Linked DNA regions of Drosophila melanogaster. The protein of the gene in region 2 interacts with the protein of the main gene of each other region in a pairwise test. Each region holds a gene or a part of one and is shown on either strand. Other genes may lie near its edges. The genes, in order: Sf3b1, Syx16 and bi.

The links.
Region 1: the proteins of Syx16 (region 2) and Sf3b1 interact in a two-hybrid assay, tested with the Drosophila melanogaster proteins (one large-scale study listed by BioGRID).
Region 3: the proteins of Syx16 (region 2) and bi interact in a two-hybrid assay, tested with the Drosophila melanogaster proteins (one large-scale study listed by BioGRID).

Annotation. Positions count from the first base shown.
Region 1 is NT_033779.5:565,490-571,369, forward strand, and holds the start of Sf3b1 (splicing factor 3b subunit 1), read left to right. Parts: upstream 1-2,850; 5' UTR 2,851-2,916; coding exon 2,917-2,944; intron 2,945-3,109; coding exon 3,110-3,801; intron 3,802-3,858; coding exon 3,859-5,880. Other genes in the region: CG2794 (uncharacterized protein), read left to right, coding at 1-840; Nle (notchless), read right to left, coding at 937-949, 1,009-1,135, 1,191-1,541, 1,600-2,575.
Region 2 is NC_004354.4:20,389,872-20,395,751, reverse strand, and holds Syx16 (syntaxin 16), read left to right. Parts: upstream 1-2,000; 5' UTR 2,001-2,109; coding exon 2,110-2,190; intron 2,191-2,264; coding exon 2,265-2,398; intron 2,399-2,460; coding exon 2,461-3,304; 3' UTR 3,305-3,418; downstream 3,419-5,880. Other genes in the region: HERC2 (HECT and RLD domain containing protein 2), read right to left, coding at 1-872; l(1)G0004 (lethal (1) G0004), read right to left, coding at 3,494-4,216; jb (jean-baptiste), read left to right, coding at 4,984-5,312, 5,369-5,497, 5,562-5,562.
Region 3 is NC_004354.4:4,410,515-4,416,394, reverse strand, and holds the start of bi (bifid), read right to left. Parts: upstream 3,540-5,880; 5' UTR 3,475-3,539; intron 2,934-3,474; exon of another isoform or gene 2,496-2,933; intron 1-2,495. UniProt on the Drosophila melanogaster protein: Essential protein that may function as a transcription regulator. Vital for pupal development. Required for proper development of the optic lobes and wings, and abdominal pigmentation.

The DNA.
Region 1 (5,880 bases), on a different chromosome or scaffold from region 2:
GCGCTGAAGCGGGGCCTAATTGTGGCGGACAACCACAACACCTCATTGTGCTCCCTAATCTTCGATAAGTTTGGAGATTGCAAGCTGATTCTGGGCAACATGGAAATCCACCAGAGCATTACAGCCGAGACCCTGCAAGCGCACCACCAACTCTTCCGAGAAGCTCCTCTCATCATCATGGACAGCAACATATCGGAGCAGGCCATGGCCAGCATTCTGCAGCAGGCGCAAATCAACAAGATTCCAGTCTTCTTCGAGCCCACAGATATGTTCATAGCCGGTAAACCGTTCAAGCTGCTGCCGGAGTTAACCAAGAACATACGCCTGATCAAACCGAATATGCAGGAGTTGAAAACTATTACGGAGGCTATAACGGGCGAAACTGTCAAATGGAATCCAGAAACCAAACAGCCACAAACGGAACTGGTTCAGCAAGCGAAGTCCTTGATCAAAAAAATCGACAGCCACTTCAATTGCATCATAGCTACGCTGAGTGACCACGGGGTGCTACTCAGCTATCGAGGGGACGCTGAAAACGATGCCAGATTGCTCCTCGATGTGAGTAAGCCCACGCCGCCACACAGCACTCGCTTCTATCCCGCTCCCATGGTTCACAATATTGTGAATGTCTCCGGAGCGGGCGATAGTTTCTGCGCGGGCTTCATCACTGCCCTGCTGCGAGGGCGATCTCTGGACGAGTGCATCGCCGGCGGCTTTGTGGCCGCTGAAAGGGCACTGCAGTCTGAGTCCGCCGTTCCCGCAACGTACTTCTCAAATCAAGAATCTTTTGAGAGTCGCTACAAGCATACTGCCCGGATCATTCAACAGCAGAGCATATAGATGGTACTTTGAACACCAAAAAGAACGAAGGCATTTACTCAGGACGTTTTACTTTATTCCTAAGTATTTTCTTACCGTGTACAAGTTAATGATTTGTTAATAAGCCCATCTGAAAGATACAATTAGAGTCTGTATATTGTTATAGAAAACCTCGTTACTCAAACTTACAGCTTTATAACTTTGTCCTTGCCACCAGAGGCAACTCTAGAGCCATCGGGCGCCCAGTCCACTCCGAACACCTCATCCGCATGTCCAGGCAGCTCCTGTGCCAGTTTCTTCGTCTGCACACTCCATACTAAGCAAGAGGATATGTATTAGCTAGCGCTAGAAAACTGAAACTACGTGCTAACCTTTTAGAGTTGAGTCTTTGCTGCCGGAAACAATCAAGCGGGAGTCCGCGGACCAGGCAACCGTGTAAACAGCCTGCACATGACCCCGGAAGGTGGCCATGTACTGACCATCGCTGGCTCGCCACAGACGCACTGACTTGTCAAATGAAGCAGACGCAATTAGCTTTACATCCGGCGAATATTTCACGTCGTTGACCACGTTCTGGTGCCCTGTCATGCGCTCAACGCACTTGTTCTGGTTGTTCCGCCACAGATAGAGGGTGTTGTCATCCGAACAGGAAACCAGCGACTCCACCTCGTCAGGGCACACGGCCTGGTAGCGCTTCAAGGCAGATTCCTGCAATTCCTCAGCTGTAAAACAATCTCTTTTAGGATATACAGCATATATAGAGAGCATATGAATTCTTACTGCTCAAACTGAGGTGGCTCTTGGAGCGATCCTTCACCGGATGGAATGGACCAGTGCGCAGGACGTAGTCGGTGCTCAGCGCAATGTTGTTTACCCAGTGAGCGTGGCCAGAGAACGTCCGGCACAAGATTCCATCAGCTGCTCGCCACATCTTCACTGTGCGATCTTTGGAGGATGTATAAATAAGGCCCGCTCCACCCCATCTCACTGCTGTCACAGCATTTGTGTGTCCGGCAATGTTCATAAGGCACTGGCCCAATTTCACGTCCCAAATCCGGCAGTCCCCGTCTCCACTGGCGGAAGCAAGTTTCCTGCACTCCGGATCGCGATGATACGGTTCCCAGGCGAGGCAGTTGATGTGTTTCTTGTGCCCACTCAAGGGTCGCCCCTTCTGCTGACCCGTCTCCGGGTCCCAGATGATTATAGAGCCCGCTTTGCAACCGCTGGCCAACCGTTTGCCATCCGGAGCCCAGGATACGCACAGAACCCACTGCTTATGACCTGTGCAGGTGAAGTGCGGTGTCTCTGTGTTAAGATCCCACAATCGCACTGTGGTGTCGCCACTTCCACTGGCGAGATGAGCACCATCCGGGCTGAAATTCAGCGAAACCACAGCCTCGGCGTGTCCCGGCATGGAACTCGTGCATCTTGTCACTGGGCGCACTTTGAAAACCGCCTGTGGCTGATACACAATATCGATCACGTTTTCGGTGTCCACTGACGCCAAGTCCAACGTGTCCTCCAGGCTCTTCTTGATCTCATCCTCGCCCACGAAAAACAAATATGGAGTGGCTTCCTCGTTTTTCAGCAGCGCGTTGCAAATCAGACCCAATTGCTGGGTAGTGATTCCTGCCGGCAGGTCGATTGGCGGGCCCGCTTCCTCGCCCGTGTCCGAAACGAGGCGCGCCTGTATCGTATGTGGCGTGGCCTCTTGCTCCGTGTCCGTCTCCTGCATTTTCTGTTTTTTGGCCAACATTCTCGCGGTCAAAACAAAAGTAAACACGTGCCGCAACTTGTTCGTTAGTGATGAGCAATCGGCAGACGGCTCAGCTGGCCTGCCAGCTATCGATTATTATTTGCTTAAAAAATAATAAACAAATAATGCATTTATATTTTGTATCGAACTTTGTAATAAAAGTTGTCCAAAATATCATCATCAATATCGGGTGGAATGAGAAGATTTAAGAAATCGAATGTTTCCCGATAGCTGCTAGTACGATATGATATGTATTTGGTCACACTTAGACCAGGCGCTATTATCATCTGGTAACACTGGTTTTACATGTACGCTCTTCTCTTGGTAAAGTTTTTATAAAAATGGAAAATATTCCGCGAACACATGAAGGTAAGCGATATAAACACTCACGGTGGCAAACCACCGCCATTGCCAAAACGTAAATATACTATCTGCGCACCAAAAGGAACCGCACACACAAATGGGGATCGACCGGTTTTTCTGGCTGGTGGTCTACTATGAAAATCAAGTATCTTTACCTATTTTTACTCACAGATATCGAGGCACAGATCAGCGTGATCCAGGAGAAGAAGACGGAGTTGGCCAAGACCACTGCCGCAGCAGCCGGCGTGGGATTGCTGGACAGCGGAGGATTCTTCGACAGCGACTTGTACGACGATGATGCCGCCAAGGGGAAGGGGCGTTACGAGGGGTACAACACCTCCATTGCGGCCAACGACGCCGAGGAAGTCGATGAGGATGAGGACGACGGCTTCCCCGTGCCCCAGAAACGCACCACGTACACGGCGCCGGCCTCCGTGCTAAAGGACGTGACCCAGGGCAAGGAGGATGTGGATCCCATGGCAGACCGCAGGCGTCCAACGATTGCCGATCGGGAGGATGAGTACAGGCAGAAGAGACGTCACATCATCATTTCCCCAGAGCGAGCGGATCCCTTTGCCGATGGCGGGAAAACCCCAGATGTGGGCTCTCGCACCTACACGGACATCATGCGGGAGCAGATGCTGAAGGGCGAGGAATCTGAGCTCCGCCGAAGAATCCTGGAGAAAACCAAGGAGGGAACTCTGGTAAAGACCGTTACATCGTCGTCAACTTCAAATGGGGACCTGCCTGCACCAAAGGACGGCGGCAGAAAGCGAGGCAGATGGGACCAGACGGTCAGCGACAGCTTCATCCCGGCCAAGATGGCCACGCCAAGCAGCGCAGCTACCCCAACTTGGGAAGATGTGAGTATTCTGGGAAGTATAATGGATGATATAATAAAATATTAATTTACTCCGTAGAAAACTCCTGGAGACCACCGTTGGGATGAGACTCCGGGTCACAAGGGCAGCGAGACGCCAGGAGCGACGCCGGGACTGGGCACCCGCATCTGGGACGCCACTCCGGCCCACGCTGTGACCCCAGGACACGAGACTCCTGGACACGAGAAGTCGGCCCGTCGAAATCGCTGGGACGAAACCCCGAAAACAGAGCGTGAGACTCCCGGACACAGCGGATGGGCCGAGACTCCAAAGCCAGATCGCACAGGCAGTGGAGGCGGCGCGGAGAGCATATCAATCGAGTCCACCCCCGGGGCCTCCAAACGTCGCTCTCGTTGGGATGAAACGCCCTCGAATGCTACGCCGGCTATTACTCCTACAAATGCGAGTGCCATGACTCCAAATATGACTCCCAGTATGACGCCACATGTGACTCCGGGACATGCTACTCCCATGCTGACGCCCGGAGGCAGTACTCCTATCGGAGTCAAGGCAATGGCCATGGCCACGCCCTCTGCGGGAGCTCTGGCTGCGATGACACCAGAGCAATTGCAAGCCTATCGCTGGGAAAAGGAAATCGACGAGAGAAACAGGCCATACACAGACGAAGAGTTGGACCAAATCTTTCCGCCTGGTTACAAAATTCTACCGCCACCAGCTGGCTATGTTCCACTGCGCACTCCCGGCAGAAAGCTGATGGCCACGCCTACGCCAATTGCTGGCACCCCAGCCGGTTTCTTCATCCAAGTGGAGGACAAGAATGCCAAATTCATGGATAACCAACCAAAGGGGCAAAATCTCCCCTTCATGAAACCAGAGGATGCGCAATATTTTGACAAGCTACTTGTAGACGTGAACGAAGACTCTCTGTCGCCTGAGGAACTCAAGGAGCGCAAGATAATGAAGCTACTGCTGACCATCAAGAACGGCTCGCCACCAATGAGAAAGTCGGCCTTGAGGCAGATTACGGACAAAGCAAGGGAATTCGGAGCAGGACCTTTGTTTAACCAGATTCTTCCGTTGCTTATGTCGCCCACATTGGAGGACCAAGAGCGTCATTTATTAGTGAAGGTAATTGATCGTGTTTTATACAAACTGGACGATTTGGTGCGGCCCTATGTGCACAAGATTTTGGTGGTCATAGAACCGCTGCTGATTGATGAAGATCACTACGCTCGCATAGAAGGCAGAGAAATCATATCCAACCTGGCCAAGGCCGCTGGTTTGGCCACCATGATCTCTACTATGAGACCGGACATTGACAACATCGACGAGTATGTACGAAACACCACAGCGCGTGCCTTTGCCGTGGTCGCTTCAGCTTTGGGAATTCCCTCTTTACTGCCCTTCCTAAAAGCCGTTTGCAAGTCGAAGAAATCCTGGCAAGCGCGGCACACTGGCATCAAAATTGTCCAGCAAATTGCCATCCTGATGGGATGTGCTATATTGCCGCATCTTAAAGCTCTCGTGGAGATTATCGAGCACGGACTAGTGGACGAGCAGCAGAAGGTACGCACAATTACAGCCTTGGCCATTGCTGCCTTGGCAGAGGCAGCCACTCCGTACGGCATTGAATCCTTCGATTCCGTGCTAAAGCCGCTTTGGAAGGGTATTCGCACGCATCGCGGCAAAGGTCTGGCCGCCTTCCTCAAGGCTATTGGCTATTTGATTCCCCTGATGGACGCCGAGTACGCTAATTACTATACGCGTGAAGTGATGTTGATTCTTATCCGCGAGTTCCAGTCTCCAGATGAGGAAATGAAAAAGATTGTACTAAAGGTGGTGAAGCAATGTTGCGCCACCGATGGTGTGGAACCGCAGTACATCAAAGAGGAGATTCTTCCGCACTTTTTCAAGTTCTTCTGGAATCACCGCATGGCCCTGGACAGGCGTAACTACCGCCAGCTGGTGGACACCACCGTGGAGATTGCCAACAAGGTGGGCGCCTCTGAGATTATCAATCGTGTGGTGGATGACCTGAAGGATGAGAACGAGCAGTACAGGAAGATGGTGATGGAAACAGTGGAGAAGATCATGGGCAAC
Region 2 (5,880 bases):
GGCTGTGACTCCACTGCAGCATTGGCGGTTGTGGCGGCAATGGTGGTGTTGGCGGTGGTGACACTGGCCACCGCCTGTGCGCTTGTCGTGGACTTGCGTTCCCGTTCCCTCTCCCTTTTCAGGGCCACGAAGTAGCGCTCGTAGATGAAGAGTTGCTGGCGAAGATGCTGGGCAGAGAGACAGTTGCCGGCTGCGCGTAGAGCTAGCTCCTGCAGCTCCGAGATCATAGAACGCTGGCAATCCAAACGCGCCTGCTGCGAAGGTGGCTGGCTCCAGAGCCAGCCGCTCAGAACCATGTCGGTGGCCTGGCTAAGATGGGCTGCTTGCTGGGCGGCAGCTTGGGTGGTAAGCTTTTTGATGGCCGTGTCCGAGTCCAGAGGCCGACAGCCGTCGCAATTGCAGGCGGAGAGAGGACCGCAGTACTCCGGCTGGCAGCAGGAGCACTTGAGCTGCTGAGCGCCGCAGTAGTGCTTGCCATCGTCGCCCAGGTAGGATAGTTGTCCGCGGGCATTTAGGAGCGGCGCGGTAGGCGACGAGACCAGCTCGCAGTCCTGGATCAGATGGTTCCACAGTACGGCGCCGTCGGCGGCGTTGCGCAGGGAGGCGATGAGATCGGCGCGCAGCCACTTGGCGTCCAGAAAGGGCAGCGGGCGCAGGTAGAGATCGGGCGAATGGCTGGGCGGTGCTGCTGATCCGGAACCTGATCCCGATCCAGATCCTGCTGCGGAGCCTGCTCCTGCCGCTGCTCCACTGGCACCTCCACCCCCTCCTACTCCAACTCCAGCGGAGACTGGTGCTGCAGAAGCGGTCTGGCTGGACCCAGCACCCTGGCCACTGGATCCGGCTCCTCCGCTCGCCTGGCGGTTGAACATGTTTGTGTTTTCGTGTTGCCTTCCCTAGTGCTCCACCGCCGAAGTCAGGCTAGAAACGAGCTCGACCACAACCACAACAACGACAATGGCATGGCACAGTTACCCCTTCAAGGGGGGTGTGGTGGTGGGTTGGAGCGCGGGTGGGGGCGGGGGCGAAGGCGGGTCAATGTCGTCACTGGCACACACACTAAGCACACGCACACGCGCGCAAGCACACACACAACTGCAATCGGGCGTCCAGGATCAGGATAATTCGTTGTTATCCTTGTCCGCACTGCTCATTTCGTTGTTCCGCTCGGAGTTAGTTATGACATCCTGACTTTTCCACCCGCACTTGAACTCTCCGTTTTCCGCGCTTGCTGCTTTCGGGTCACAATTGGAAGTGCCAGTTACCAGTACAATGCAATTTGAAATCAAGGAATTATTTTAAAATGAAATAAAATTGTTTGATGGCAATCGATATCAGGGGGAGGTGCAAACTGACTGAGCTATCAAGTAATCGATATCAGGGGGTCGAGCCATCGATATGTTTTGCCTTTCGATAGCTCTTCAGTGTTCTTAAGTCACAGGCTTGTGTCACGGATTAAAACCCAGTACAGTGGAAGCTGGCTATTAGAAAACGTTAAGCCAAACTCATAATGAGTTCCCTAAAATTCTGTAAATTTGTAATTTTTAAACATTAGCCTAAAATGTACTTGATTCTAAAATCATTTACAATATCATTCGGTTATATTACTCTTTCGTAACGCAAAAAAAGAGAACGCACATAACAAATTATTGAATACTTTTATTGTACTATTACGGTCGTTTTATTGCTAAAAGTATTGCATTTCAATTTACGTGACGGTGTGTACAGAATTAACTTTATAAATTGTTGAAACTCAACAAAGCAATACTATATTCTGTAATTTCCGAATATTTCTATTGGAGCTATCCAATCCGTATATTGAAAAAATCACTTTCGCAAATAGGATGTTTAGGAGTATACATATAAAGTACAGATTCTACAGATAATAAGAAAATAATATTTAAAATAAGTATAATTCTCGGACATGTAACGGTGCGTTCAGGCCAGGGTGACCAGTTCGTCGTGGCGACTATCGGTATTCTGGGCGAGCAAGTCAGCGGGCACACTGCGCTGCTGTGTCAAAACGAAACTGGAAAAAATCTGATTGAGTTTTCAGCGGACTTGGATCAATCCTTCCAATCCCCAAGAAATCGGGAGCAGACGGCCAGGATGACGTCGCGCAACCTGACGGAGGTGTTCGTCATCATGCGCAACAATGCGTCCAAGAACCGGAATCACTACGACGATCGGGTGAGTGCGTCTCCGTCTGGGGTCTTCACTGTTATCATCAACTAACATATGTTTTGCGTTTCTCCGTCTTCCAGAGGGGCAGCGATGCGGAGCGCCTTCTAAAGCACTCGGTGCGCGAGGCGGAGGAGGGACTGGAGCTGCAGGACGACTACGGCACGCCGCCCGCCTGGCTGGACAAGTTCGAGGAGGCGCAGTACACCATGTCTAAGTGGGTAAACAAACAGTAGTCCATGCGCAGGGTTCAACTTCACTCCCATCACTCGTTTGCAGGATCAAGCCTAAGCTGGATGAACTGGGCTCCCTGCACGCACGCCACCTCCTGCGACCCGCCTTCGATGATCAGCGGGACGACGAGTGCGACATCGAGGTGCTCAGCCAAATCGTCTCCAAGCTGATCACCTCCACGCACCGGCACATCCAGTGCGTGCGCAGCAGCATCGGCGTGGGCAGCAAGATGGAGCAGTGCCTGACGGTCAACGCGGTACACTGCGCCCTGCTCCAGCTGCAGGAGCTGACGGTGAAGTTCCGTGCCAGCCAGAATGCCTACCTGCTTCAGCTGAACTCCCGCGAGGAGCGCTCGCAGAAGTACTTCGACGACGGCGGCGGCGCTGGCGCTGGAGACGTCTTCACAAACGTGGAGCTGGGCGAGCAGAGCGCCGAGAACTTCGTCGACTCCTTCGACAACTTTCTGCAGCCGCCGGCGGAGGGCAAGTCCGGCAACGGCTATCTGTTCGAGGACGACGAGCAGGCCATCGACGATCACTTCCAAAGGCCGCCGGCCAGCCGGATGACCCAACAGCAGCTGCTGCTCTTCGAGGAGGAGAACACGCGGGTGGCGCAGCACCGCGAGCAGGAGGTGACCAAGATAGTCAAGTCCATCTACGACCTGAACGACATCTTCAAGGACCTGGGCCACATGGTCCAGGAGCAGGGCACTGTGCTCGACCGCATCGACTACAACGTGGAGCAGACGCAGACGCGCGTCTCGGAGGGATTGCGCCAGCTGCACAAGGCGGAAATGTATCAGCGCAAGAACCGCAAGATGTGCGTCATTCTCGTCCTGGCGGCGGTCACATTCTTCATGCTGCTGCTGCTCATCCTGACCAAGCTCTAGTTGCCCACGCGCCTCCAGTGGGCCGACCTCATTCCCGTCATTCGCTGTGTGTGTTTGTGTATATTGTAAATGTTTGAATACATGTTATTATATTTATTATTTATTGCTAATGCTAAAAAAAAAACCGCAACTACTCCCTCTCAAGTCGAACTCCACTCCAGTCCAGTCCACTCCAGTCCGCTCTCCCAATCACATGCGCTCCGAGAGGCGCGAGGCGACTGCCCGCAGGTTGCCATACACCTTGCTGGGCGGCGAGCCGAGGATTAGGTTGCAGACGGCCCGGCGCGCAAGCTGAATGTTCTGGTAGCTGCCCAGGATGTGGATCTTGCTATCGGCTAGCACGATGCGGGTCTTGGTCACGTTCTCGATGGTGAATTTGGTGCGGCCGCCCTTGCCGGCGAGGCGGCCGATGGCGCGAGACTGGTGGTCGCCGCGCAGCGTCTTCACGTCCTTGATTTCGAACGACTCGACGAACAGGTCCTCCAGACGCAGCAGGGCCAGGGCGTCGTCCACCTCGAAGCCGCAGAGAAAGGCGCGCACGAAGTCGGCGCCGCGCTGCAGGTTGGCTATGTCCGGCGTCTCGGGGCCCACACGCAGCTCCACCTGGCGCGCCTTCATGTTGAAGCGGATCTGCAGCTTCATGTGCTCCACCACGGGCGTAAAGATCTTCATCCAGTGCTCCTTGAGCGAGGAGTACCTGTGTGGCGGCACGGATACCTTGCGCAGCTCGCTTCTGGCCCGCTTTGCCTTGGGCGGCGCCGATGCTCGCGAAGATCCCAGCACCTGGCCCTCAATGCCGGTCGCCTCGTCCACCTGCATCTCCACGTCCTGCTGCCCGCCTCCGCTGGCTCCGCGCTTCGTCGCTCTCTTCGCCGGCTCGAATGCGTCTGCTCTGATGTTCTCTGCCTCCATGGTGCAATCTGTTGTGCTTTTACTGCGTTGTTTCCAATAATTTCTCAATCCAGCTGCTTTGTCTGCTCCACGTGCTCAGTGTGACCGCGCTCGAATCTGAGATTTCAAATACATCTGTAGCTGAATACCACACCACTGAATTTCGACGAAAATACCAATGCGTATGTACAATTCTACACTGGCTAAAAAGTATGTAGAATGTAGAATTCCGAAATATAATACGCCTGAATTCTTGATAAGAAACATCATTGGATTTGAAGGCTGATTGAAGTGCGAATTCATATTTGATCACTCATTGAATTATTGCTGTTTCAAAAGTAATAATTCAAGTACAGCCTAAAGCTATAAGGTGACGTCACTGTCATATAGAACAACACAATGTAAATTCTCAAAAGATGGCAAAGGGTACCGAAAGGAATAATGGTTTCTGTTAGGCCCATATATATGTATATATATACTGTTATATATATACTGTTAATATATAATAACAGTATATATGTACATATATACTTAATCTTAATTTTGGAATCATATTCAGATAACTGTTAATCAGCTACAGACGAGTGGGATAAATATAATTTAAATATATCATAATAATTTTATAATATATATAATATAATTAAATATAAATCATTTTTGCATAATTATTAAATGCAACCCTTTCATTTTCAATCAATCAAAAGGTAGCCTATTTTTGACATTTGGTTTGCTTTGGTCCCTATTGAATTCAGTTCACATCTAGAACCCGTACCGGAGAAACCATTTCCATGTCACAACGGAACTTCAAGATGCCAAATCCGAACAACGAATCCCATTCCTATTTCCTCCGGAATATTCCGGAAGAATTGCAGCCTCAGTTTACGCGTGGATTCAATCAGTGGATGGGCAATCAGTCTACGATGACTAAGGGTTTGCCATCCAATACAGTGAATAAGTCTGCCCAGACGGCATCTGTCAATGATGGCAACTTGCAAGCTAGCGTGATCGCAATGCTGGCAGGAATGGACTCGATCTTGGACATGGAGCAGCCTAACAGAAGTCCTTCGCGCGAAGAGCACGAGCGCCTAAATGAGCTGTTGTTCAGCAGCAATTTGCTGTGAGTTGAAGTAATTCGTGGTGAGAGTCCTGACATAAAGTTCATAGTTTCATTAGCATGCTGGACGTAAAGAAGCGAACGTTTCCCGTGGAGGACCCAACTGGGTATTTAACTTCGGTTTCAGAGCAAAATCCAGATGGGAATCCGTTGGCTAAGCGACTAAAGCTAGAGCGTCCTCAGGGCTGGTAAACAAGTCTCACGAGGAATTACCTTCATTCTACACATATTCAATCATACATATCTTTTCAGACACTAATGACCAATGTCTCTTCCTCAGAGTCTCTCAACCATACAGGACATTAACGAACCATTAAATAAATCACTATAAAAATAAATCACAAAATAGTTCAGAAGAGCCGTTTTATTTTACCAGTTAAGGTCGGTAATTGAAAGAGTTTCGCAAAAGAGGCACGCAAAAAGGTATACATACATAGCTCATACACCTTTAGCTTAGTAATGGGTATCCGATAGTCGATGGTCGACGTGGAGTATGTGCATATGTATATGTGACTTTTTAATATATAAATATACATATATGTATGTGTTGTGTGAATATAAATTCGTTTAT
Region 3 (5,880 bases), about 16 Mb from region 2:
GACGGTGGGTGGAAAATCTTCGAGAAGGGGCAACGTTGCACTTGACAGCTGCGAGCTCAGAAAACTTTTTGGACGCCATCAAAAGGCTCGATGAAGTGCCTCGAGTTTTTTCGAGAGCAATCTCCATCGAAATCAATTTGATCCCGTAACAAGTAGCATCCTCCCGCTGACTATATACAATTTCTACCCACCTGCAGGCACACGCACCCTTGCCAGGAGAGAGAGAGCTACGAGCTACGAGCTACGAGCTACGAGCTGTGGGTTGGATTCTCTTGAGTTTTCCACCGAGCTTTGCTTATAAATTAAATTCGTAATTGATTCCTGAATCCGCAATCCTGCAAATGGGATTACAACACGTTGGAAAATCGCCCGAATGAGAACCACCCCCGGCAAGCCATCATCAGCTAGGTGGGGGTTTTTGTGTGGAGGAAAATTGCGTGAGTGCTGCTGAAGTCTGAGGCCAAAGGAAGTTGCTGGATGTCAGTCAGCTTTGCACGAGACAGCAGGACCAGGTTCTACTTCCCCAGCGCTTGGCTTCTTCCTCCCCTGCCAAGTCAGCTGGCGTGTTAGTCAGTCAATAGATAGAGCCAGGATAGCAGGATACAAAGGATCTGTCCATCGGATGTACAAACGTACACGCATCCATATACGAGTATGTACACACACATATAATATAGATGTGGTGCGTATTTATCGGTTAAGTGTGCAGTGTGTTTGTTGCCTTCAACCCCAAAAAAAAAAAAAAAACAAGGATAAGTGCCGCATCCAGGCCATTCCCAATTCCCGAAATCCAAAAAATACAATCCCCTCTTCCGTTTTCTTCCGCCGGTTGTAGCAACAACAATGGAGCTGGCATTTTATAGTAGCAGAGTACACAGTACATACCCCACCGAATACGGAATACGGAATACTGAATCGTGATTCCCGAATCATAGCCATATCCATGTCATAAGTCCGTTAGCAGCTTACCAACGAACAACCCCGACTGGAAACCTCACCAATTAATTGGTGAAGTCAGCAAAAGATATAGGTATTATGTGTTGTGGTATTTTGGAACTATTTTAGGTATATATAACACTTAATTCCGTAATTCGATCAAGACAATATATATTTCCAACTGTGTAATAATGTAATCCCTACTAAATGAGGATCAAAAAGAAAATGCATGTTCCCTCGGAAACAAGAAGAAAACATTCTCTAATATGTAATACAAATGGTTAAGGGTTGTTACCTACTTTCGAAAAGGGTTGAGTACTACGTTTCTAAACAGTCATAAAAGTCACTAATCGCTAATAAGCAGTGCAATAAACTACTCGAAAGAGAAAATTATTTTGGTGCTGGGGAAAATCCTTTCCTACAAAACATTGCTCTGTAAACGCGAATGATAATAGCCAGTGGCTTGGAATATTAGATTTATAAATATCCTTGATTTTCAGGCTTAGTATTTCGAAATTAGAACAAGTAGTCAAAATGTTTGCACGTTTTAAATCCTTTTCCGTATAACAATAGATAAATAGAAAAATGTCTAATTATTTTTGTACATCTTCAAGTGAAAGAACTTTGTGTGAGACCAGATTGATCGAGTGCTTGGCCAAGTATTCATTCTTGTGTTCATGGCTCAGTTCGTTTGGCACAACAGAGCGAAGCGACAAATCCAGTTCTGAATACAAGTTTGTATCGGTGGTCCTAGGCGGCTACGATCTCCTCCGCGAATCCCCTTGATCCCCTCCCTATTGAATAAGGCCCCATACAAAAAACCGGACTGTGCCGCAGACGCCGACTTGAGATATTATGTTTTCCGCAGCTGTCAAATTTGATTTGACAAATGTAAATAATACGGACAGACAAAGAGATTGTTGACATAATGGAAGGCGAGCTGATTTACACTTTTAGCTGCGTGTCGAGATGCGATCGTGATCTCGTCTCCGGAACCCCGCTCCCCAACTCTCCCCCCCCCCCTTATCCATCGCCATACATTGCATATATATAGTTTTTTTTTTTTTTTCTTTTTTGTTTTGTCATGCCTGAACAACTTGCAAATCTAGCGACTGTTTGACTGACTGCCTCCGGCTAATGGCTACAAATTGTCACATCAGTTAAGTAGCGAAAAAAGTATGAGAAAACAATTGACGAGGCGATAAACTGATGATACGGGTTCGGAAAGAGTTAGCTAATTGGATAATGGTTCCGATTTCGTTGCGCTTGAGCAGATCGGGATGGGGAATCTCCTGGGGGTTGGATCAATCAATCTAGACAATCTCCCTGGTGTTATGCGATGTGATTATCATAATGGGAAGGAGTTCCACCACGCTTTGTTTAAGGACTTTCCTATTAACTCATTGGATCACCAAAATATTGAAAGTAATTATCAGTAGTTCTACATTTAATGTTTGTAAATTTCTCATTTCTCAAGTAGGGAAAAACCAAGGAGTAGATTTTTTTGATAGTATACTATTTATTTCCAAGGGCAGCATAAACATAATATATTTGTATACCATTATGTTTTCATGATCTGAAACGGTATTTTGAAAATCTCAGGCGGAAACCAGTGTGTTTTTTATTTATATTCTTTGGACCTCCCACCTTGCTGTTGTTTGATTTTTATATATGTTTTTTTTTTTAAGTTTAAATACTCCACACTTTACGCACTTTTCAAACACAATTTTCTTTAATCTTGTCAGGTTTTCAAAAAATTCTGGACTGCACAAAAAAACAAAACAAAACAGAATCTGCAGGGTGATGTTGTTTCTTGATTCCTTATCGTCGACGGCCACGAAACGGTTAACGGTTAGCGGTTAAACGGTGAGCCGTATCGGTTAAGGTCAGTGTATTTATTTTGCCTTCGGATTGAAGCAAAAAAGGGGAATCACACGTAAACACGGCGAGACATTTGGTTTATCTGACGACGCGACGGCAAAAGCGTTTGACGTGAGCGTGTGACAGGCGGCGACTGCTGGCCGAGAACGATCCAAAAAGCCGAAAAGCCCGAAAAACGAAAAAAAAAAAAAAAACAACAAATAACCGGGCCAAGACGACGCCGAGCGCCAAAGTGCAAGAAGCCGGCAGCGACGTTCGCAGCGACGCCGGCAGAATGCGAAAGTGGGGAATCCCCATCGCGTGGGGGGAGGTGGGTTGGCCCGTGTTATGTTCACCACACGCGGGCAAAAAAGCTAAGGCCAGCTTAGCATAGGTTTTCCCCCTCGCCGTGCTGTCGAATGACAAGCATTTTGACACCCAAGTCGTGGGTAGTCTTGTAGTTGCTATTTTGTGGGTTACATATTTTCTTTTTAAAGCCCTTCTGTGTAATCCCTACACTCTATGCTCTCAGCTTTACTTGGCGAGGCCATTCTTTCTTTGCTTTCCTTCTTCTTGTCTTTATACGTAGCCTACCCTCCTGGTCTAACCCTATATAAGTATAAACGTATTCTTTCTTTCTTTGAGTGAAATCCCTCTGTGCGTTTTAAACCCACGTACACCCCTGGATTTTCCGCTGTGATCTCCGCTCTTCGTTTCATATGAAGTGTCGACGTTTACTAACAGAATTCCAATTTTGAATGACGCTATTCGCCACTCTGCTCGACGCTTTGCTTCACAAAACCCACCACGGCAGCACAGTCGACGTCGGCAGAGGCAGAGGCACGAATTCGCCTCGTTTCGCTTCGTTTTGAGTGAGCACTTCTTTGCATGTGTGTGTGTGTGTGTGTGAGTAATTGAGCACTTACTCAGAACCGGTTTATGCTAGGTTTTTTTTGTATCCTATTTGGTCCGAGCCAGGATAACAACACGCCGGATAACTCACGCACATTCGAATCGCATCCTTTGACTTCTTGGGAAAAAAGGACAACGGCTTAACCGTTAAATGTGTGTGTGTATGGTGTCCATTTTTTTTGGGGGGGGATACTACGAAAAACTGGAGCACAGATTAAGTCGCTGCCAAGCGAAAATAAACAAATTTGCAGAAATACGTGGAACCAATTTCGGGTAAAAGGAGCCAAATAAAAAACAAACTAGGATGTTGGCATTGTTATGACCTTAAGTATATGAAATCTGGAAACAGCTTTAAGATATTAAAACAGCTAAGAATCCTTTTAAGACGTAAATATGATTGTAGCTATTAGTTAAGTAATATATATACCATATATATATGTATATATTTGGGTTGGAAATACTTGGTAATCAAATGAAAGTAAAAACAAAAAGCTCAGCTTTAAAAAAAACACTAAATATTAATTCTAAGTTACAGAAAAAATATACAAAACCAGAGATAGTTGGGACTGTATTCAGATTGAGCTAACAGCTTATAAGAAATTATTTAAAAGGATTTTCGTAGGAATAATTGTTGAATTTTTTATATCTTGAACTGAGAATTTAGAATTTTAAGCAACTTTTTTTTTATATATTAACGAATTTATAAATTATAAAGCTTAAAAAAGGAAGAAGCTCAACAAGAAGCAAAAAGAAGGATGAAGATTGTGCGTGCGAAAGGGAGGACCGATGTCACGCAGAGCTAACGGTAGTCGGAATGCCATATGACACTTTCCTTCGCTTTTCGCCTTTTCTTGGGTTTTCATCCGCCGAAGCGCCAGAACGTAATGAATAAAATATGCAATAAGCGTAAAGCAGTAGAAATATGCAAATTCGTTTACAACGTCGCATCTTCTCTACTCTTGCTTTCAAAACCTCCATCCACAAACGCATTCCCTCTCGCTCACACTGCGGCACTTTCGCATGGGTGCGAAAAAGACGGCCATAAAGCAACGCCCCCTGCAAGGCGACCATTTTACACAGTTTCATGTGCGCAAGAACGAGAAGGCAAGTGCCAGAGGGAATGCGCATTCTCGGTGAGAAAGAGTGGGAGAGCGAGTGAATGTGTGTGTGTGTGTGTATGACTGAGTGAGTGAGTTGAGCGTTTTTTACCGGACTGTGGTGAGTTTTTTTCTCATCTCATCGCGATCGCTTAGTGGGCGGAGTCTCGGGCTTGTGTTCATGTGTGTGCGTGTAGAAGCGAGATAGCGTTACATGGCGAGAAGGAAAACACGCACACACACGTAGTCAGCGATTTTGTCACACAGGCAAAAATGTCCTTTTCCGTCTCCGTGCCTTCTCGTGTCCCTTATTTCTCAGTTTCCACTTCACCTATATGGCTTTATTCGGTTTTTTGGCGCGAAATTTTAGGCTCAAATTCGGAAAAGGGAGCTAAAATTTGGAGAAATAATAGAAGCACAGAACTTTGAAAAATAAAATTTCTTTAAAAAAAAAGAAAAATGTTGAAAAGATATTGCTGTGATTATGAAATTACAGCTCGCAATGTAGGAACTCAGATAAATATTGAATTCAAAACAAATAAATGATTAATACGTCAGTTATTTCTTTGGATAATTTGTGCTTCAAATATTGAATTTTTGATAATTCCAGATCACTAATCTTAAAAATTTTAAATTTAAAATAATTATAAAATAAATGTGTAGCAATTAAAAAACGAGGGTACATTTCGTTTCTCTGCCAAACCATTTCCGAATGCCCAGAACATCAAAAATAACATGTAAGAAGTTCCTGAATGCATCTGCCATGGCCGATGAGAATCAACTGTAAAATATGGCGCAATGTGCAATTGTTGATAATGGGGCATGTGGCGCGCATATCCTACCGATTCGCTATTCCGTATAGCCCGACTTTTTTACGCAGCTCTGGCGCCTGCGCCTCGCCTGCTAATTAGTCGAAGCTCCCGATCCCGAGGGATATACGAAAAGGGTGGCGTTTGGGGGGTCAGGAATACACTTGCTCCTTGTATTTGCTAAACTTTGCATTAAATTTTGGCGCTGCACAGGCTGTGGCAATTAATTTAGAGGCGCAACAAGCGTTGAAAGCGTCGAAATGAAG